Schizosaccharomyces pombe: one gene and its partners. Changing the gene in region 3 together with the main gene of any one other region gives a genetic interaction. Each region holds a gene or a part of one and is shown on either strand. Other genes may lie near its edges. The genes, in order: asl1, dad2, gsk3 and trm61.

Region 1 (5,754 bases), 740 kb from region 3:
AAACTGCTGGCATCTCCTTCATTAGAATTCAACAGTCCCATCATTAATCACGGAGAGCAAGAGGATTTTTACAAAAATTTTCGAACGTATGTTGTGCTTACCTGGATTCTCTCAAACCTATTTTTGGTAGGAATTGTTCTAAGTATACCAAAAATTAACGGGATCTCTATTTCAAACAATGAAACAAGCGCTTATTTGTCGTTTCTGTACGTTGATTTCAAGACTGTTTTATCAGTTGACTAACTATAATAGACTTTGGAGCGTCGTTGCTTTCTCGGTTTTTCGGTTTATTGGTTGTATTTTTTATTTATTTATTAGACTTTGTACGGGAGAATAACTTGCATGGCTATTTTAAGATATTTTAATTTGTTAATGAGTAAACTTTTTAATGAATTCATCAGATTATGTACTTACTAAACAGCATTTTTTTATACCTGAACACTACTTCTCAATTTGCTTAGCTGTCTATTTAAATATTATGTTATCAATACTCATCATATATGTACTTGCTCTTGCTTTCTTGCTATAAGCTATAAATGTAGTATTTTATGGTTTTATGTAAATGTCTAACGAGTTTTGCGCTGTATACCTCGTTTAAAAAGTCATTTTCCTTAGCGCATATGAAAACTATAACATCGCGATTTTTATTACAAAAGAACTTTTAAAACAAAATCAAATAAAGTAACTTTTTAATTAAAATACCAATCTTTTGCTACAACTTCCAATACCATCATCACCTTGTCCTGTTTGCGTAGATATCTGTCGATAACCAACCTTCGTCGCCTATTTACCATCACCTTATTTTAACTGTGTTTTGAAGTTGAACGTAAAAAAAATTTCTGAAATGTCAAAATCGCTTATTGTTTCGTCGCCAGGAAAAACGATTTTGTTTGGGGAACATGCCGTTGTATATGGAGCTGTAAGTTTACCTAAGGTTTAAAGCAGATTACATTAGCGAGAGTTTTTAACAGGCTAGTACTGGATACAGCTCTGTTATGCATATATGATTTCTTTGTAACATAGTATTTGCAAAGCGAACACCACTTTTAACTTTGACAGTCGTCGCAAATGTCATTCTGCTATAGCCATGCTTATTTTTGATTCTAATCTTAAGCCATTTTAAAGCGAAAATATGGAGATCATTTAAATTTTTATGCTAACTTTCTAGACTGCGTTAGCTGCAGCTGTATCGTTACGGAGTTACTGTAAATTACAGACGACTAATAACAATGAAATAGTAATTGTGATGAGTGATATAGGGACCGAACGCCGATGGAATCTTCAATCGCTACCTTGGCAGCATGTAACAGTGGAAAACGTTCAGCACCCGGCATCATCTCCCAATCTGGACCTTTTACAAGGATTAGGAGAGCTATTAAAAAATGAAGAAAACGGACTTATTCACTCAGCAATGCTTTGTACCCTTTACTTGTTCACGTCTTTGTCTTCTCCTTCTCAGGGTTGTACTTTAACTATTAGCTCCCAAGTACCTTTGGGTGCTGGATTAGGTAGTAGTGCTACTATATCAGTTGTTGTCGCTACAAGTTTACTACTAGCTTTTGGTAATATTGAACCTCCTAGCTCAAATTCTCTTCAAAACAACAAAGCACTTGCGTTGATAGAGGCTTGGTCTTTTCTAGGTGAATGCTGTATTCATGGAACACCAAGTGGTATTGATAATGCAGTAGCAACAAATGGAGGACTTATCGCTTTTCGTAAAGCTACAGCTCATCAGAGTGCCATGAAAGAATTCTTAAAGCCTAAAGATACCTTATCTGTTATGATCACTGATACCAAACAACCAAAAAGTACTAAAAAACTTGTACAAGGAGTTTTTGAACTGAAGGAAAGACTACCAACTGTGATTGACTCAATAATAGATGCAATCGATGGCATATCAAAGTCTGCCGTCCTCGCATTGACTTCGGAGAGCGATAAAAACTCCTCCGCTAAAAAGTTAGGAGAGTTTATTGTTCTTAATCAAAAACTCTTAGAATGCTTGGGTGTATCCCATTATTCCATTGATCGCGTTTTACAAGCCACTAAGTCAATTGGATGGACGAAGCTTACAGGTGCCGGTGGTGGAGGTTGTACGATTACTTTATTAACACCTGAGTGCAAAGAAGAGGAATTTAAGTTATGTAAAGAATCACTATTAGCCCATAAAAATTCTATTTACGATGTTCAATTAGGTGGACCTGGTGTTTCAGTGGTAACCGACTCAGATTCATTTTTCCCTCAATATGAGTCTGACTTTGATTTTAAAAAATTGAATTTACTCAGCAAATTTAATAAATATTATATTTAAAGTTTTTATGTATAATCAAATTTTCATAACTGGTATATATATGAGTGGCTTGATAATGAACGCGGCTTGTCGTTCACCAACCACCACAGTAGAAGCTAGTCTATAAGAGTCGTTGTCCGTTCTTTAGCAACACTCCTTTCCACTCTTTTATATATCAACTATATACCAAATTTCATCTTTTCTTTCTTTTTTTAGTATTAGACGCGTTTTATCTAGTATTTTCTAAAAAAATGCGTACTACTTTCGCGACCGTCGCTTTAGCTTTTTTATCGACCGTTGGAGCTTTGCCCTATGCTCCTAACCATCGCCATCACCGTCGTGATGATGATGGCGTTTTAACCGTGTATGAGACTATCTTGGAGACTGTTTATGTTACCGCAGTTCCTGGTGCTAACTCATCTTCCTCATATACTTCTTACTCCACTGGTTTAGCTTCTGTTACCGAGTCGTCCGACGATGGTGCTTCAACGGCTTTACCTACTACCTCTACGGAATCTGTGGTTGTAACAACCAGTGCCCCTGCTGCTAGTTCCTCTGCCACTAGCTACCCTGCCACTTTTGTTAGTACTCCTCTATATACTATGGACAACGTTACTGCACCCGTATGGTCCAATACTTCTGTCCCTGTATCAACTCCCGAGACATCTGCCACTTCTAGTTCTGAATTTTTCACTTCGTATCCTGCTACCAGTTCCGAATCTAGCTCTTCTTATCCTGCTTCTAGTACTGAAGTTGCTAGCTCTTATTCTGCTTCTAGTACTGAAGTTACTAGTTCTTATCCTGCTAGCTCTGAAGTTGCTACGTCAACTTCATCCTATGTGGCTCCTGTCTCGTCTTCAGTTGCTTCTTCATCAGAGATATCAGCTGGCTCTGCTACATCTTACGTCCCCACTTCCTCATCATCTATTGCTCTTTCTTCTGTAGTTGCAAGTGCCAGTGTTTCTGCTGCTAACAAGGGAGTTAGTACTCCTGCTGTTTCTTCAGCTGCCGCCTCCTCTTCAGCTGTCGTTTCCTCTGTTGTCTCTAGTGCCACTTCTGTTGCTGCTTCTAGTACTATTTCCAGTGCTACCTCAAGCTCTGCATCAGCATCTCCTACTAGTTCTTCAGTTTCTGGCAAGCGCGGTTTGGCCTGGATTCCTGGAACTGACCTTGGTTACTCTGATAACTTTGTCAATAAGGGCATCAACTGGTATTACAACTGGGGTAGTTATTCATCTGGTCTGAGTTCCTCTTTTGAATATGTTCTCAACCAACATGATGCCAATAGCCTTTCTTCAGCTTCTTCTGTTTTCACTGGTGGTGCTACCGTCATTGGATTTAATGAGCCTGATTTGTCCGCTGCTGGAAATCCTATAGATGCAGCTACTGCAGCTAGTTATTATCTTCAATACTTAACACCTCTTCGTGAATCTGGTGCCATTGGTTATTTGGGATCACCTGCCATCAGTAACGTAGGTGAAGATTGGCTTTCTGAATTCATGAGCGCATGCTCTGATTGTAAGATCGATTTCATTGCTTGCCATTGGTATGGTATTGACTTTAGCAATTTGCAAGATTATATTAACTCTCTCGCCAATTACGGTCTCCCTATTTGGCTTACTGAATTTGCTTGCACCAACTGGGATGATAGCAATTTACCTTCATTGGATGAAGTTAAGACTTTGATGACCAGCGCTCTTGGCTTTTTAGATGGACATGGATCTGTTGAGCGTTACAGTTGGTTTGCTCCTGCTACCGAACTCGGAGCCGGTGTTGGTAATAACAATGCCCTTATCAGTTCCTCTGGTGGATTAAGTGAAGTCGGAGAGATTTATATTTCTTGAACTCCTTAAATTTACACAAAATGGGAAATTATCTTGTGAGATATAATGGTAATTCTTATGCTTTTTTTTCGTTCTTTAAACTGTCAAATACTCTTATTTCTTCTTGCTCTGAAACTCTTTTTTATGATATTTTGTTTCATGGTTTTTGTCGCTTTTTTTTGAATACTCTGCCATCTATCAGATTGTTTAAGCTTTCTGAACTATGCTTATAGGAGATGTGCTTCTTATTACATCGATCTTTCATTTATTCATTCGTTTATTTTACCAACCATGAAGTTCATTGTGTTTGATGTCACAATTTTTAAAGCGTGTATTCAATGAATATGCTGCGTGTTTTAATTTAATACAGTCGTTAAATGTCTTTTAAATTTTATTAGTAATCTTTTCTGTAAGCTTTGGAACTCTTGATAAAGTCGTTTAACTTTATTTGCTGACATTGTTGATGATCTGTAGTATAAAGGTAAATAATAAGCGAAAGTCTCGTCTATAAAATGAAAACAAATGCATAATTGACTGCTGTAATGATAAAACAACTATTTCTCCATTGCGCCATTGTGGGTGGTTTGATATCTGGGTGTTCTTTACATGCTTGTTTGCCTCTTTTCAAAAGGAGGTCTTAGCAACTTTGGACACACGAACAAGAAAAGGCTTATTGAACTATAGGATATTAGAAGCATGAGCAATTTAAGAGACATCACAAACTTAATTAGCAGATATTAAAAGAAAAAGTTATCTCGAATCTCTTGCGAAAAATTTATTAAAGTAACCTTTTTTTTGCATAGTTCTTTGCAGCAGATTTAACTTACGCCGAGTAATCTAGTACTAGATTCTTAACCTGCTCTACTCACTGTAATCATAAAAAGAAACTCTACTCATGCCCCTCTTACAAATGTTTTCAACCGGACGAAAGCAACCATCTCAAAAGTCAAGAATCCCGTAACTATTTGCACAATAAACACTAATTAAATTCCGTTTTCCATAAATATATGCCGCCGTATAGGAGATCATTCAGGTGCTATAATTCCTTGCTCTGAAAAAGTTTGAAGCCAACAAAGTTCTTCGGCCAGCCCGCAGTTGGCTAAATCACACGAAGCAGAGCAAACATAAATAGATAATATTCCCCAATCCAGAGCATTTTTCGCAGAATGATCAATATTCATACTTGATATCAAAGTAGGTAAAATTTGAAATTCAAGCTGCCTTTTAGCTCCGCAAGCGCAATTGGGTATAGATGAAGGTATACATTCATTATTGCACCATAAACCAGGAAATTCATTAGAAGTCGCATGGTAATAACGCATAATTTGGTCAGGCGCTCTTGAAAGCCGTTTTTGAAATTTCAGGAATGAGACATCACCTTTTGCTTTAGTATACGGTTCAGCGGAAGGATTCTCAGTATCTACTTTTACATTTTTTAGCTTCTCCGGTATTTCTTTTTTATTTTCCTCTTTTGGTTCGGCATCAACTTCAATTTCTGAAGAGTCAATTAATTTAGTTACTTTTGATGTAATTAATTGAAAGTCTATTTCATCTGTTTCACGAGCTTGTTCCCTAAAAACTTTAACACTAAGTAAATGTAAAGTTAGTACAATTAAGATAAATGCTGGTTTACAATGTGATTTC
Region 2 (4,683 bases), 1.9 Mb from region 3:
GCAGATTCGAAAAACAATTTCATAAGTGAAACTCTAGACCATTAAAGAATATAAACAAAATAATTTTTCAATCATGATAATTTTGAAGATGATTGATTTCGCATTATTTTTTGTTTAATATTCTAGCCATTCCAATAATTCAGGAGTAAAGTAAGTCAAAACTATGTTAGCGCCAGCACGCATAAAGCCATCCATGGTTTCCATCACATGTCTTTTTAATTCAAATACGCCAGCGGCAGCAGCAGCATGAATAATGGCGAATTCGCCTGAAACTTGATAAGTAGCAATAGGAAGGTCATCTGCTAGCTTAGAAGCCATTGCCAAAATATCGAGATAAGGTGTTCCCGGTTTTACCATAATACCATCAGCACCCTCTCTAACATCGCGAAGAATTGCTCTTTTGGCCAAGCCACGTGCATTACAGGGAAGTTGATAACAGCTGCGATCACCAAATTTTGGGGCACCATTAGCAGCAGCTCTGAAAGGACCAAAAAAACCAGAAGCGAACTTTGCAGAATAGGAAATAACGCATACTTTATGAGACAGTTCCAACTCTACAAGTTTCTGCTTAATCGCCTTAACACGACCGTCCATGCAGTCACTAGGAGAAATTATTTGAGCGCCTGCCAAGGCATAATTTCCACTAACTTCAGCAATTCTCTCAACGGATTTAGCATTATTGATAGTGCCATCTTCATATAACAGACCACAGTGGCCGTGATCAGTATACTCGCAGAGACAAACATCACAAGCAACAACCAGCTCCGGAAAAAGGTGACGAATTTCTTTAACGGCTTTAATAACTGGTCCATTTTCGGAATCGGCCATGCTACCACAATAGTCCTTTTTGGACTCGATGACACCAAACAGAATTACACTACGAAGACCTTTTTTGACGAGAGGACCCAAAAACTCTTCCAATCTATTAACACCCCATCTAAATTGATTAGGCATGCTATCAATGGCTTCCTTAGCATCATCTATTTCGGAAATGAAGATAGGATACATTAGAGATGACTTGGTAATGGGACGTACACCTTGCCATTCACGAAGCAACGGGTTTGAATACCCAGCATGCAAAAGAGAACTGATATCAACAGGCATATTAAATACTAACTGACAAAATTTATTTGATTTTTCCTAAAGATGTAAAACTGCGTAAAAAAAGCAGATTTGTGACAAATGGAACTAATGGACCAGCAAAAGCGCCTTTTATTGGTTATTTAAAAAAGTTCTAGCGGAAGATCAACAAGATTTCCTAAGAAATATTTTTAAAAAGGTAAGTGGCAGATGGCGAGAGGTTGGCGAAGGTTAAGATAAATAAGTTTAACTTTTTTTTAAAAAATCGGGCATCGGACCACGATATTTGTTGATTACATAACAATAGTATCACTCCTGAATAAATTGTTTGTCCTTGAAGAAATTAATTGTCGTAAGGGAATGCTGGGAGTATTCAAACAAGCGAAACAGGACGAACGCCAAAAGAAAATGACCAAATGAAAAATTTAGATATCATTTAGTTTACAAGGTGATCTCATTCTCCATTTCATTAGGAAGTGAAGATACTTGGAACTTGGGTTTGCTGTCGGCTTTACCAATTCTGAAATAGAAGAAACAATATGAATAAATGGACAGAACAATAATATTTATTTTAACCAATTCTTGGCCTTTTCTACTTCAGTGAGAAATTAAAAAGAGTATTTAAGTCTTTATACCTCTTCAACATCGCCTTGCTCCGTAGCAGATGCGTTGGTATTTGAAGTAGAAGGAGGAATTCGGACTAAAGCTCCTGAATGTTGGGATGCTATCTGTATTGACTCAAAAATGCTGGGCCAATTATTGAGAACAGTAGCAACAGCTGATTTTGTTAGTGATTTGAGTGTCAAACATTTATTATAATGGATTAAAAAGAGTCGTCAAGCATGTATGAGTAGTAGTGAAAATAGAAAAAATAAATAAATAAACAGATTATATTTTTTACGTTTAGGTGAATTATTGAGAGGTAGAAGTTCATTTAGAGACATGTCGGCAAATGATTGCTTTTATTTGCAATCCTGCAGATCCAATCAATTCACTTGTTTCTTTGCTTTTCTCAATGTAATGATATTTATACTTGTTCACATGAATAGCACTTAAACAGATTGGTGACAAGGCTCTTTTATATACTTTCCTCGTAATGAACATACCTTCACTTCCATCTGTTAAAGTTTCCAATTTAGCAGCAAGCGTTTCTATTTGTTGAACCATATCATTAGAAGAATCTCTTAGTTTGCATATTAGTTCGTATTCCTTTTGCTTTTCCTCAATCCTTGCTTGAAGCATGTTCACGCCAAATGTTTGTAGAAGAAGGTACGAAATTTACTAGATTTATCTCCTACACCATATAAGGCGATTTCGGTTTTGTAATTATACGTTTAAAACAAATAATTTCCGTTTCTGGAATTTTATATCTCGGAATGTATTACTAATAAAGAGGTTGATAATAGAGACTAACAAAAAATATAATGATTGATTTTACTCAATTTTAACCATTTGTTTTCATCTTTAATAAATTAGTTAGTTCATTAATTTAAAGTAATAATGAATTTAGGAAACTATGTTGAATAGTGAATATAATTACTCAAATAATGGGTCAAGTTTAGCTAGCTTATTATATCCATATTTTACTAAGTAAGTATGCATTGCTTCATCCCTCTAAAGTTTTAAAGAGGATCAAAACTGTGCATATTCTCTACTATTTCTTCTTTTATTTTTATTTTTATTTTTTTTTACACAAGGTATAATGGGCTTAAAAGACTTTTAAGATTTGGGTTCGATAGTATATTCTTTTGGTCAACAAGATTGTCAACGTTCCGATACATAAGGAAATGAATTTTTTATTCTAGACAGGATGCAACTTCCACGTATGTTTTCTAAAATTTGAACCGTATTTGACTAATTTAAAAATTCATAAAATGTCTCATCCACTATTGAAGTTTCTTCAATGATCGGTTCCAACGGGTCGTTAAAGAATACCCAACTTTTTTAGAACAAATTATAATAGAGTGGCTATTATCCATTTCTAATTAACAACTTTTTAACATACATCAAACCCTTGTTTACATGGTAATCGAGTATTTTCCTTCGCAAAAATTCACTATTACTCCAAATACTCAGTTACTGAATTGTTCGATCTCACAATTAAATTTCGCGCAGTATGTTATTATATTCTATATACAGTTTTAGAATAACGCACTTTATACATGGTTTTCGGCAATAACGTTTACATTTATATAACAATTAAACAAGTTATAATACCGTTATATCACAGAATGTCCCTGTAAATAAAAGTCAGTAAATAATCTATAGGAAAGAAAAAAAAGGAAAAGGATAAAAGGGTTAGGGGATTGAAAGGATCATTGATTTAAAATCTTTGGGTAGTAGCATCTTTATGTATCGCAGTACCGATGAGATCTTCTCCATTTTTGTAAAATTATTGAAAGAACTAATGGTAGGAATACTAAACATAAATTATCTTGTAGTTTTATTCAATGATCAAATAGTTAAAGATTTGGATGATTTCGCTACATTGATACTTGGATTCTATGAACAGCAAAACAATCGCTTTCCCTTCATGCTGAATTAACATTTCGATAACTAAAAACAGATTCTATACACTTTAAGTTCAGAGAATTTAAATTGTTGTTTTTTCCTTCGGCCCGTCTTCAAAGAAACACACTCAATTCATTACTGAAACTGGACTTGCTAAGAGTATTGTTAAAAGCGTAAAGCACACATTAATGTCTTTTGGTAATCCAAACACCAGTAATTATGTGTAATTATGAGTTTTTTCGATACAATTATTACGGTTAGAGGAAGACATGGTTTCCAAAATCATTATGCATTTCTTTCGAAATCAATTATCGATGTTTCAACCATCAACTGTTTTCAAATTGGTATTAATTAAAGAATGTAAGAAATAGAAATAAACGCTGTTTTCCTTTAAAGCAATACTTGATGCTTTATTTGAATTATCTCATTCATCCCAACGTGAAGTTGACGATTCGCTGTAAGCGAAAAATCCTTACTTAACTTCAGGTTTAAAGCAAAAAGAAATCAACAATAAAAAGAAATGTTAACGTGAGTTATGTTCGCGTTGAACTTTGTATCGATGGGGTTGTCACCGTTAAACGTCGTACTAGCTGTGGGTGTCTTTATCTCACTGCGTACCCTCCTTGTACTCATCAAAATACCCCATTTCGAAATGAGCTGTGTAAGTCGTCAAATACGCGATTCGTTTACTAATTTGATTATGAAAATAGCCTATAGATTCCAAAAAACTTGAAGAAATTTGCCTAGAAGCTGCTCAGCCGGTTTTGAAGGCTTCCGAATATGACGGAGACAAAACAGCTGAAATGAATCAATCTGTTATTGTAAGTTCATTTTATTTTACAAATATCTATGTATGGTAGCTAACTTTATGTCTCATTTAGTATGCCGTATTAAATGCTTTGAATAAGGAAACCCAGTCTTACAAATGGATTGTTAGTTCCACTCTTGTACAAAAGCTTCCCGAAGATCATCCTTCTAGAGGCGTTCACGCAGCTCACGCTGCTTGCTGGAATTGTGAAAAGGATGGAATGACTACTATCAAAGAGAGCGGTGAGGCTATTGACGTAGTATTGAGCATTATGTGGATCTCCA
Region 3 (5,909 bases):
CCATTGATAAACAATCTCAAGATATATGAATCCACAATTCGGCAAATTCTTCACGCGATACTTTACCATTAGTGCCAGCTAAATCGAGCATCAACTGAAGCTGTTCTTTAGTCAAATTTTCCCCTAGTTGAGCGCAAGATCTTCGAAGGTCTTCAAAGTCAATGTACCCTTTGTGTGTCACGTCAAAAAGATCAAAAGCCTCTTCTGCTTCTTCATCCATTTCAAGACGTTTAGTACTGACAGACATGGTTCCCCTAAACTAAAAAACTATTCAACAAGGAAACGCAAATGCAAACAAATGAGATAGTGCCAAAAATGCTAAAATGAACGAAATAACAGTAAAAAAAAAGAAAGGAATGAAAATCAGCGTCCGATGGCTAGAAGAGATATAATTTGTTCAACAGTTATCAAAAAAAGACTAGAAGTGAGTTAAAAATCCAAACGAAAAGACAAGGAGGAATAATATGAACAGATAGACAATCAAAAGTGGAATAACTGCGTTTAAATACTAAGTAATCAGGCTATTTGATGCAATTTGAAGGTGGTACAAATGGAAATTTCGTGGTGCGATAAAGTGGACGAAACTTGACCTTAATGAATATATGGTATAAAAACGTTAAGCTGAATTTTTTTTTCTAAAACTGCCAAATCAACAAGGATATTGAAGAGACAGTTGGAAATCTCAAAATTTATGTATAAAATGTGTTCAATTGACTTTATTTACGTGCCAAGCCAACCTACTAAGGCGTTATTAGCTAATATAATAAATTGACCGAAGCTAAGGTTGTGCGCAATATTTAAATAACAAAACACGTAATACAAGATTTTTGATGAGTTAATAGATCGACTTGCAAAATGGCTTTAATGATGTAGGCTATCAAGCATAATCTCCTTTAGCGGTGTGGCATACTAATACTCGTGTTATATATTATATATGAATGTTTGACATTATTTATACACATTCATTTTTTAAGGATTCTTACTTTGTTTATGTATTTTTTAACATATTTGAGATGCTTCTGAGACATTGGTTCGCTCTCTGATTTCGTAGTTTTTCCATTTTTTCCTTTGAGACAGGGAGGGATACGCGATTTGCATATGCTAGTATAAATTTGTCTCCCTGTGAATGTTCCATTATTTACTGTATATGAATTGCGACAGCAGTTGCTACTGAAAGGTAGGAGCACAATTCTGATGGCATTTGAAAAGTCAAACTTCCTACTAGATTTTATGTGAATTATTTTAAAAAATATGTTTTTCTTTTCTAAAATCCACATCGAATTCAGTGTTTGCTCTAGCAGTTTCAAAGTATATCACTCTAAATTCGGTAACACTATTCAATATAACGGACTGGAGGAATTAAAACTCACAATGTGATAATCGCGTATACGTAAGATGGTTAATAACCATGAATTCAATTTCTCAAGCACGAATTTTTCATTAATATACGTACTTTTTTATGGTTATTGTAATAAATAAGAGGAAAGAATGAACCCTCTTTTCTTTGATACTTGCGCCGAGAGTTTACAGTTTTATGATTTGCTCATGTCCCGTAATGTTACCTCTTAGAAGTACGCACTTTGTATCATGCTACTATACCCCAGAGATTATTCTATGGTAGAACTTCCTCCACTACCACAACCCGTACTCCACGTTCATCACGCCAAGAAAACCTCCTTTTTAAGTCCTCTGATAGCTTTTTTTTCATTTTGTAATTTAACATTTCTGTATCATCATCCATAATGAATCATGGTACTAAAAGTAAGTTGGCTAACTTCGATAGTGCTGTTGTTCTAACCGTATAAATAGTTCCTGTGGACCCCTTTCGTATTATAAAGGAAACCGCTCGTGATGGGTCAACGGGAGAGGTGAAGCAACTTTCTTACACTTCGAGTAAAGTTGTGGGCTCTGGAAGCTTTGGCGTGGTCATGCAGGTTCATTTAATTGAATCAGACAGCAAAGCCGCTATAAAACGCGTTTTGCAAGATAAACGGTTTAAGGTATGTATTTTTATTGAATGCAAAATGCGAAAGGAAGGGTTAGATTTTACTTTATTTTTCTGTGAAAACCGCACACTTTTGTTTACGCTGAAGATACGTAGCGCGCGTGCTTCGTCAATATACGTAAGATTCATTTACAAAAGATTGGTCGTCTACATGCCATAAATGGTAAGAGAGTAGTGTTATTAAAACATTACTTGCTTTTGTGCTTTCTCTTCTTTGAAGTGTCCACAGGCTTACCATACCTGTTGTCATGAAATTGTACAACTCAAATGCCTATTGCTTTTTTTTTGCATCCATTGTACGATACACAAGCTTTTTTTAGCCAGTATTTGGATGCGTTGAAAATTTAGTGTATTCGTTTTGAACATATTTTTCCTTTTTCCCTCCTCCATTTTTTGCACTTCTTTCTAGATTTATAAAAAAACTCAGTATTATAAATCTTCTCCAATGAACCTTTGTTTCTAACACTTAATTTTAGAATAGGGAGTTACAAATTATGCGAATTATGAAGCATCCAAATATTGTCGATTTAATTGCCTACTATTATACCACCGGTGATAATTCCGATGAAGTCTATCTAAATTTGGTTCTAGAGTTTATGCCTGAAACGATTTATCGTGCTTCTCGTCTATATACTCGTCAAAAACTTTCTATGCCAATGCTGGAAGTCAAATTGTATATATATCAGCTTTTGCGTTCTTTAGCCTACATTCATGCTAGCGGTATTTGCCATCGTGATATCAAACCTCAAAATCTACTATTAGATCCGGAAAACGGAATATTAAAGCTTTGTGATTTTGGTAGCGCAAAAATCTTGGTTGCTGGTGAACCAAATGTCTCTTATATATGTTCTCGTTATTATCGAGCTCCAGAATTGATTTTTGGAGCTACTGATTATACTCACGCTATTGACATCTGGTCTACTGGATGCGTGATGGCTGAGCTTATGCTTGGACATCCTCTTTTTCCCGGTGAAAGTGGCATTGATCAGTTGGTAGAGATTATCAAAATTCTCGGTACTCCTAGTCGAGAACAAATAAAGACTATGAATCCTAATTATATGGAACATCGATTCCCACAAATACGTCCACAGCCTCTTTCACGAGTGTTTTCTCGAAGTGTTCCCCTTGATGCATTGGATCTCTTATCAAAAATGCTTCAATATACACCTACTGATCGCCTTACTGCTGCTGAGGCAATGTGCCATCCCTTTTTTGATGAGCTTCGGGATCCTAATACTAAGCTTCATAACTCTCGTAATCCCGATGCTTCTCCTCGTCATTTACCCGAATTGTTTAATTTTTCCCCCTTCGAACTATCCATTCGTCCTGACCTTAACCAAAAACTAATTCCGTCCCATGCTCGCGATGCTTTACCCGTGAAACTTGATGATTTTGTTCCAATTCCAATTCATCGTGCCCGAATTGATTAAATGTAACGGGTATATGCATTCATCTTCTAAAGTTCTTGTATATCCATTTTTGCCACCAAACTTATTTTACTTCTTTGTTGTATTACGCATTAATATAGCCAGTGAATCTGCCTTGTTGTGCGTACATATACCAATCGCTATCTATACTGATTCTACAATGGTCTACTTGTGTGGATATTCTTTTCGTTCACTTTTTTTTTGTCGTTATTGGTGTTGAATAAATCAAACCTGAATTTTGTTTTGATGAGAACTAAATTTTTTCGATCACGATTATTTTCTTAATTGTTATTTTAGGAGTCATAAGTAGACCATCTTAGTTTGCTGAAAGTTTTTCAGCGACTTTAAAACTTTAATTGGATGAGAAATGTAATCGGTAATTCTTTCATTCTGGAAAGTATACTGCAGAATCTCATATATACATATATATCATAATTCTTATACTAGTAAAATGTTTGTGATTGATTCAATTAATATTTTATGGTTAGGTTTCAAAAGAATGTTTTGTTTTTATTATTGTTTAATTCATTTTTTTGTCCTCATTAAAAATTCTTTTGGTAGAGTCATTACTAAGTTTTTGCTTCGTAGACTACATGAAAGAAGCTGGTGAGGCGAAGTAATATTATGATTCAATACTACCTAAGATATAGCAAACATCAAAAGGGTACAAAATTCTAGGAAATCATCTGGCAACGTTAGATATCAATATGTAAATAGAAATAGAAAAACATGTAAATCTAATTACATACTAAGTCAATAAATGGAAAGGAGTCTGGTAATTTTTGATTAATTAGCAGTGGTTTACAAACGAATAGTTACTAGTTATTGCAAATCAAAATTAGTGTCGATGACATGTGTAAGCTTGACATTCATTTTATTTCAAAATAGAAAAGTAAAGATAAGAGCAAAATTTTCATTTCGTATACGAAACTAGCAAACAACTACAACGACGTGAACAGCAAAAACGAGTGTATTTGAAGTAAATTATTTGTGAGATGATAGTACCAATCAACCCAACTGAACAAACAACGTTTCAAAAGGGAGGTGGTAAGAAATTGCAAAGCAAAAAAAACAAGTCATTTGAAAAGAAAGGAGTGAATGACTAGATGCGAGACTTCCAAATTTTCTGGATTTATCGTTCTAAAAGAATAAACCGAAAAAAAACAAACTTGGGAATGCTAAAGAGACTCGAAATGTAAATTAGCAAAAAGTTTGCAAAGGATATATAAAATCGCTCACATTGTTCCTTTATAGCAACTGAAGGTAGAGCGGGTAAATAATGCATGTAATACCAACCATAGAAATAGAAATACGTGACCAAAAGAGTAAAACCAACGGGGAAAAATGAAATGGGAATGATGAAAACGAAAAAAAAAAGTAAAATCTTTTCAGAGACAAACTCTTCTGAGTCTAGATATGTTGTTTAATGGTTCTTCTTAGCAGAGTTAGCGATGTATTCTCTATCATCATCACCTTCAACTTCATTACGAATAGCCTCGTACTCCATCAATTCGACACGAAGAACATCCTCGTTTTGGCGAAGATCTTTGTCAAACCATGCCTCATCGGGGGCCCGGAAAGAGTTGCCGAGGCGATCAAAGAGGGTGGTGAATTGGCCGTAATTGTAGTTGAAATAAATGTGATGGCCATTATGGTGAGCAGCACCATTGATGATGGGGTTGTTGGAGATGTATTTACCATCGTGAATCATGATGGACCAGAAGTTGACAAAGGTGAAAAGAGCCAAGTAGGTCAACTTGTGAAGGGGAAAGAAAAAGGGGAAAAGATGGTAAGGAAGAGATTGTAAGAAGCCATCAGCGGATTTGAAAGCATGGGATGCATATGGAGTGCAGATAATCCACTTATGATGGAGTTTGTGAAGACGAGGGTATACATAACGGTGATGAAGGAAACGATGAGCCCAGTAAATGCCAAAATCTGAGAACATGACAAAAAGAGGTAAGGAACATAAGAAGTATTTTAAACCGTAATCACTGATGTTGTCGTATAAGTAGCTGTACCCATGCAACTCAGCCAAAAACCACGGAACCGTCAATAACGCCATACCAGGTAAGTTTTGTAAAGCCGTTAGAACTTCCATGAACACCTGGTTTTTTAAGAACTTTGGGTGATCCATCAGACTTTTATCAAACACAAATTGGTAGGAAAGCGACGCAAATGTTAAATACAAGAACATACCGCCAAACCAAGTTAAAAAAAACAAACTGATCGACTGTCTAACGATATTGTCGCGAGCTAATGGATATACAGCATTGTATATCGAATCCAGCGCATATTGGTCAGCATAGTTGAGTAGGTAGTCCATTGAGGTGTTTGCTTAAAATCTATTGACCGGTGGTAGCGTATAAGAAGTACCAAAAAATGGTCTGATTTTGATTGCGATATCTAGTTGGCTGCTATTAATTAGTCAATAGGAAACCGAGTTATCTTTTTCGTTAAAGTTTTTATCAAAAAAC
Region 4 (6,368 bases), 1.1 Mb from region 3:
ACCGAAGAGGCTTCGGAGTGAGTTGGAGACTGAGAAATATATGCCTTAACATTTTTTAATGGAGATACAGATATCGGGCTTGAAGAACCTGCTTTCGAAGAAAAATTGGGTTTAGGGGGTGGTATTTGATGATTATTGGTATCATCGTGTTTCATTAGATCATTTCCTTTGGTAGATTGTACAGATGATTGAAAAGAAATTTCAGGCCCTTTTTGTTGAGGTCGCTTAAGTAATGGAGAAACAGAAACAAATGAATTAGATATAGTAGGAGAAGATGGAGTAGCTACGTGAGATTCAGAAGAATCACTAGGTAGACGATCTATTTTTGAAACATCAGCGTGGGGGTTTGAAGGATTTTTAAAATTAGAAGCTAGCCTTTGAATTGAACCACTAACTTTTCGTCCAGTCGAACTTCCTATAGTCGATGAGACTTGCCTCGGCGGTGGAATAGGTCTTGCTTTAAAAACGTTTGGCTCAGAAGTGCCATTTTTACAACCTTTTACAGTTCTTCTTTTAGCAGTTTTTTCGTCCAAATTAGTTAGGTCACCGGTACTCAATGACTCGAACTTTGATTTCAATGATAAAACCGAAGGGGGCAACTCGGGTTCATCTTCATTCACATTGCTGAAGCCTTGGCGAGAGGCCATGTTCCATGATTACGACAATCTTATGCTTTAAATCAATTTTTTAAATAAATCACCTTTTTTAAATACTTCTAAAATCTATTAGGTGCTGTTTGGACCTTTTGCGCTTTTCAGCTAATTGTTGGAAAAAGACAACCAAGACACTGCGTGGGCTGACCTATTATGAAATAAACAAAGCCTCGTGCACTCAAACACACGCATCAACAATACTCCAAATAATCATTTTTACAGAAAACAAAAGGGAAGATGATGTAGAAATTCGCATAATACAAATTAGGAATTCCAAAAAACTATCAAATATTTTTTAGGCATTTGTATTGCTTAACTAAATAGTTTACTTCACATTTATAGAAACAATTTTGAAAGCCATTCTCAAGGCAATGAAAGATCATATTGTCATGTAGCTAAATATTTGTAACATATTATTAAGCATTGACTATAAACACACATTGCACAATTTTATTTCAGAAAGACACAAAACGAGAAATTTTAAGTACTTATGCAAGAAATTTTATAAGATACAGAAAATTTATTCGATATCAAAATTATATAAAAATTGAGCAACTTATGAAAGCATATGTACTATACGTTGAATAAAACCACAATAAAAGAGTGTATAAAGGCATAGAAAAAATAAAATAAAATCATATAGTTAATTGATTGTCTAAAGAATGTAATTTATACGGGAGGCAAGATAGACGTTTGACATTATGTATTAGAAATGAAGGACCATAAAAGATGATAGTATGGTTCACTAGCAAACAAACCCAAATGATAATTGGGTATCAAGTTTCGTTATATTTTAACATTATCTCTAACGTTTGCGAGAGCTGGTAGCCGCCTTTAGTCGTTCGATTTCAAGTTCAATTTGTTTTATTTGAACATGCTGAGCTTCCAAATCTTTATTTAATGAGTCGCGTTCGGCAATCAAGCGTTGTTCCCATTGTCGAAATCGAGTTTCTTCTACGCGCACTTGTTCTGTAAATCTTTTTCTCAAATTTTCTTCTTCTTCCTTAAATTTCGCATTATCAATAGTCCGCAGTTTAGGTTCTCCATACTGGCGAACTTTCATCTGCTCTTGTCGATATTGCTCATACAACTTTTCTTCAGTAGTTTGAATCAAATCAAGCATACAACTCCGAATTAAAATATTCCTAAGCTGTTTAAAGTCGCAGTGTTCTTCGTTCTCAATTTCAACAATTCCCCATGGGTATTCTCTACCCTTAACGACCCTACCATCAGGAGTACGGATGTCATCTTCGCTTCCAACAATCGCGAATGGCATGCAATTAATGATTCCTTGAATTTGTCTGTGAAAAACGGGATCGCCCTCATCCATATTAGGTTTATAAACATTGACTTGATGGTATTCTAAAACTTGAGAAATTCTAGTTTTATACAGAGCTAAATCCCTTCGAGTATACATATCGGCTTTAGCTATGACAGGAATTAAATTGACACGCTTAGAAATATGTTTCATAGCCTCCAAATCCATAGGCCGAACACCATTTCTTACGGGACGCAAAAAATATAGGCAAGCATGAATACGCATATCAATGATCTTACGACGATCTGGCTGCTGATCTTGTCTCATGTACGATTCATGCTGGTCTTCTATAAATTCAACTACCGACTCCCAACATCCTGAATTATTGATAAAATCCCCAAAACCAGGGGTATCAATTACTGTCAACCTTAAGTGGAAATTTTTTTCTTCTAACTCAGCTTTTGTAATCTCTATTTCGACCGTTTTCTCAGCATGCTTCGCACGAACCTTTTCCGGGCCCATATGTGATTTAATTGTTGTTGAAAAGAGTGTATTACAAAATGTTGTTTTACCAAGACCCGACTCTCCACAAAGCATCAAAGTGAAAGCTACACCATTTCGTGAAACTATTTTGTGACGCTGATTAGGTAAATCCGCAATTCCAACGAAGTTTGTCTCTTCTTCATTCATGACGCGCAGAGATGAATAGTATATTTCCTTTGTTTAACGGTCTGTAAAATATTGACTTAAAAGCTTCCAAACTAAATAAAAAAGTTTCCAAAAAATGCAAGAGAATTGTTATTAGTTTTATTAAAGCATAAATGGTAAAAAACGGAAGGTCTAAGTAAATAGATAATCGAAGCTTCGTTGCAATCACTCGTTAGCGATATAACTATATGATCACTATACCTCATTATATTTTTAACGGGCTTTCGTCTCGTAAATATACTAACTATCATTACTAGTTTGCTCATTAAATTTCATAAAGATTCTGAATGCCAGAAATTATGCTTGGCAAATATATAAAAACCTCTATACTACGTAACAGAAATAGATTGCTGGGAAGTATGCATTTAAGTTATTGATTTAATGTTCATTATATTGTTCAAGAAAATAGTTACTACACAGGTAATATGATGATCAAAATCGTTGTTTTAGTTGATATACAAGTACTAACTTGTTGCAGTGTAAAGTTAATTCGTGGCAGCATAGTAATTAACGGCAGCATTGATAGCATTTTCTAAATTATTTAACGAATTTTACGTTCGTAGCTTTGAGAGTTAATGTGAGATATCGTTATTAATATTTAACTAATGAAACATGGCTACACTAAACAAATGTTAACTAAAATAATAGCATAGTGGGCGTAGGGATAGGTTAACCATAATATCTTGAAAAGACTAAAAAAATTTATCTCAACACATTAGTTTTAAAAACTTCTTTACTTCAGTCTTGTATGATTTAAAATTACAGATTTGAGCGGATCTTCATATACTTCACACTGACTTATTTTATTAACTCTTCAATAATCGTGAATGCACCCGGTAATTTAGACCAACGAAAAATTAAGTCCCAATTTTTCTTTGGCTAATTATATTGATTTGTTAAAACGCAATTAAATAACACTACCTTCTAATTTTTCGTAATACATATATATATATATATATTATATGTTTTTTTGAAATTTATAATGGTATTTGCAGACTATAAACAACGTGTTGAAAATGGCGATTTGGCAGTAGCTTGGATTGGTAGGAACAAGTTGATTCCTTTACATATAGAAGCTGAAAAAACATTTCATAATCAATATGGTGCCTTCCCACATTCCGAAATGATTGGTAAAAGGTACGGCGAGCAAATTGCATCTACAGCGAAGCAAGGATTTATTTACCTTCTTCAACCAACTCCGGAACTATGGACCCTCGCTCTTCCTCACAGAACACAAATTGTTTACACTCCAGATATTGCTTTAATCCACCAAAAGCTTCGTATCACTTACGGAACCCGAGTAATAGAAGCTGGTACTGGTAGTGCTAGCATGTCACACGCAATATCGCGAACAGTCGGCCCTCTTGGAAGATTATTTACTTTCGAATATCACGCAACTCGCTATCAAACAGCGTTACAAGAATTTCGGGAACACGAGATGTTAATTGATGTGGGTGGAAATACTCATCTAACTCATAGAGATGTCTGCAAAGATGGTTTTTTGGATACGGAGGTAAAGGTTGACGCTATATTTTTAGACCTTCCAGCTCCCTGGGAAGCAATACCGCATCTTTCGAATCATGTAAATCATGATAAAAGCACTCGAATTTGTTGTTTTTCTCCTTGTATAGAACAAATTCAACATTCTGCTGAAGCACTACGAGAACTTGGCTGGTGTGATATTGAAATGATTGAAGTTGATTATAAGCAATGGGCTGCTCGTAAGAGTCGAATTGTTCATATTGACGAAGCAATCGATAGGCTAAAAGAGGTTAAAAGAAGGAGGATCGAAGGATTTGAGAGAAGAAAAATGAGGCGTGAACAAAACTTATCTTCTGATGCGAAGGTAGAAGATCAAGATAACGATTCAATGCTTGGTGAAAACAAGTCTTCTGTGTCCACAGAAACGGCGTTAAAGCCCGTTACTAACAAACGCATTAGAGAAGGTGATGGAAATTACGAATGGACAGATGTTGCAAGAGTTGATTCTAACTTAAAATCACACACCAGTTATTTGCTATTTGCGGTGCATTTGCCATCTCAGCTAGATAAACAGAACCAGGAGACAGGCCCTTAGATAACTTTCATATTTATGCAAAACAGAAATTTAGTGAAAATAGGCCGAAGTACTCCAAAGGACACACAGGCACGGTAAATGACATACAGGGTACAAAAAATAATATTAACGCGTCAAACATTCAAAACTTGTTATTATAAAAACGTAACTACCCAAATTGAGATCGAGTATAATGTCATAGAATTATTGACTTATGTGCTTTTTACTCTCGGAGCCGTCAGGAGAAGCTGAGCGTTTACGGCTCAACTTGTCCTGAATTTCAGTTTCCTGAGATAGTCTATCTACCTTTCTTTTCAGTTCCAGTAGCGAAACGATTGAGTTTTGTAGCTCAACGAACTTCTCAAAGTTTTTAGCTGTCGGCATAATCAGCCTTGAAGAAACTCCTAGTTCAGTCATAACTGACGAAACTCTCTGCGATAAAGAAGCCTTTATGGCAGGGATTTTTTGGGAACGAACAAAAGTGCCCGGATGTAGTTTTTCGTGCCAAGTGATGCCAAATTGTGGATCTGTCGGTTGCGGACCGTATCTGATTCTTGGTGTGCTGAGAGCATGTGGACGAGTAGGGGTATTTAAAACACTAGACACTCCAGAAGAAGGGGCTGAAGAAGATACAATAGCTTCCTCCACTTTATTTTTGGTTCTTTGAGAATTAATCATATCTTGAATTAAACTGCTCATTCCAGCACTTGTGTGATATTCATGAATGCCACCATCTCCTTTCTGTTCATCTAATAGACGGAGAACTTCGTCTCTATCACTTAATAATTTAGCCTGTGATGTTTCAATACGTTTTAATTCAATAAATAAAGCTTCTTCTTCTGCAACTTCTTCAGGCGTCCTAGAAGCAAGCCCAATTAGATACTTCTTCCGAATAACTTCTTGCTCTTTATTGTACTCCATCGTATTCAACAAAGAGCTCTGTGCAGCAGTCATTGAATTAATGGGATTCCTGGCTAATAGAATTTTTCGCGACACAGAATAAAATCTGTCTTTTAAATCTTCAAGCGTTCGATGTTTTTTATATTTTTCATTATCATAACGATCTGCTATTACAAAGAACCTCAAGTCATAATCTTTGCATAAACGGAATAGGTAGTCGGTTTCATCTTTATTCCAATCCTCATCTACAACAAATTAGTTAATGAAATATAGTAGAGAATCTCAACCTTTTAAATAATTTTGGTACTCTTCGTCGGTGTAGTCAATTATAAACAGAGGGACGTTAAATTTTTCAAATTTGTATGCTACACAGTTTAGGTTAGTTTAACCAAGCGCTTATCAAATAAAATTTCAAACATACAGGCTTCAGAATCTACTTCTGATTTAAGGACCCAATGATGCAAAGTAAAATCATCCTTACGGCTTGATATGGAAAAGGGCTGGCGTACCCTACAAATTAGTAAATTCCTTACTGAATACACAAATTTATTTATTTGAGCTCTGATTTACTCACCAATTTTTAGCTTTGTGACTAACTTTTGGTTTTTCCTTAAATTTCTTTTGGTATATTGCTAACGGGGCAGAATTCTCGCCTAGCAATGAATAAAGTTCTCGAGAAATTCCTTCTGGCCTTCTCTCTGTTGGAGTTTTAGATTTCTGCTTATTTCCTATTTCAGGAGGAGGTAATTCAAAGACATCCCGAATGTCAGCACTAGTCATTGTATTTTGAACT

The links.
Region 1: mutations in gsk3 (region 3) and asl1 together harm fitness less than expected from each alone (positive genetic interaction), as found in Schizosaccharomyces pombe (2 studies listed by BioGRID).
Region 2: mutations in gsk3 (region 3) and dad2 together harm fitness less than expected from each alone (positive genetic interaction), as found in Schizosaccharomyces pombe (2 studies listed by BioGRID).
Region 4: mutations in gsk3 (region 3) and trm61 together harm fitness less than expected from each alone (positive genetic interaction), as found in Schizosaccharomyces pombe (2 studies listed by BioGRID).

What each region holds. Positions count from the first base shown.
Region 1 is NC_003424.3:190,673-196,426, reverse strand, and holds asl1 (O-glucosyl hydrolase Asl1), read left to right. Parts: upstream 1-2,376; 5' UTR 2,377-2,538; coding exon 2,539-4,131; 3' UTR 4,132-4,499; downstream 4,500-5,754. Other genes in the region: chs1 (chitin synthase I), read left to right, coding at 1-206, 253-337; mevalonate kinase Erg12, read left to right, coding at 845-919, 1,169-2,308; tsr402 (SSU-rRNA maturation Tsr4 family protein), read right to left, coding at 5,136-5,697.
Region 2 is NC_003424.3:2,783,827-2,788,509, forward strand, and holds dad2 (DASH complex subunit Dad2), read right to left. Parts: upstream 2,467-4,683; 5' UTR 2,323-2,466; coding exon 2,187-2,322; exon of another isoform or gene 2,156-2,186; intron 1,859-2,155; coding exon 1,710-1,858; 3' UTR 1,333-1,709; downstream 1-1,332. Other genes in the region: porphobilinogen synthase Hem2, read right to left, coding at 115-1,104; dynein light chain Dlc1, read left to right, coding at 4,244-4,252, 4,302-4,412, 4,473-4,683. UniProt on the Schizosaccharomyces pombe protein: Component of the DASH complex that connects microtubules with kinetochores and couples microtubule depolymerisation to chromosome movement; it is involved in retrieving kinetochores to the spindle poles before their re-orientation on the spindle in early mitosis and allows microtubule depolymerization to pull chromosomes apart and resist detachment during anaphase.
Region 3 is NC_003424.3:928,197-934,105, forward strand, and holds gsk3 (serine/threonine protein kinase Gsk3), read left to right. Parts: upstream 1-1,634; 5' UTR 1,635-1,742; coding exon 1,743-1,761; exon of another isoform or gene 1,762-1,809; coding exon 1,810-2,000; intron 2,001-2,481; coding exon 2,482-3,435; 3' UTR 3,436-4,001; downstream 4,002-5,909. Other genes in the region: SPOM_SPAC1687.14C (calcium-binding protein), read right to left, coding at 17-247; SPOM_SPAC1687.23C (uncharacterized protein), read right to left, coding at 963-1,277; C-5 sterol desaturase Erg31, read right to left, coding at 4,856-5,758. UniProt on the Schizosaccharomyces pombe protein: Interacts with cdc14 which is thought to play a role in the initiation and completion of mitosis. Involved in the positive regulation of mis12.
Region 4 is NC_003424.3:1,990,329-1,996,696, forward strand, and holds trm61 (tRNA (m1A) methyltransferase complex catalytic subunit Trm61), read left to right. Parts: upstream 1-3,328; 5' UTR 3,329-3,601; coding exon 3,602-4,696; 3' UTR 4,697-4,879; coding exon of another isoform or gene 4,880-5,820; 3' UTR 5,821-5,862; downstream 5,863-6,368. Other genes in the region: inp53 (inositol polyphosphate phosphatase), read right to left, coding at 1-647; mitotic septin Spn4, read right to left, coding at 1,459-2,601; Swr1 complex/NuA4 histone acetyltransferase complex subunit Swc4, read right to left, coding at 4,880-5,820, 5,863-5,940, 5,997-6,085, 6,150-6,355. UniProt on the Schizosaccharomyces pombe protein: Catalytic subunit of tRNA (adenine-N(1)-)-methyltransferase, which catalyzes the formation of N(1)-methyladenine at position 58 (m1A58) in initiator methionyl-tRNA.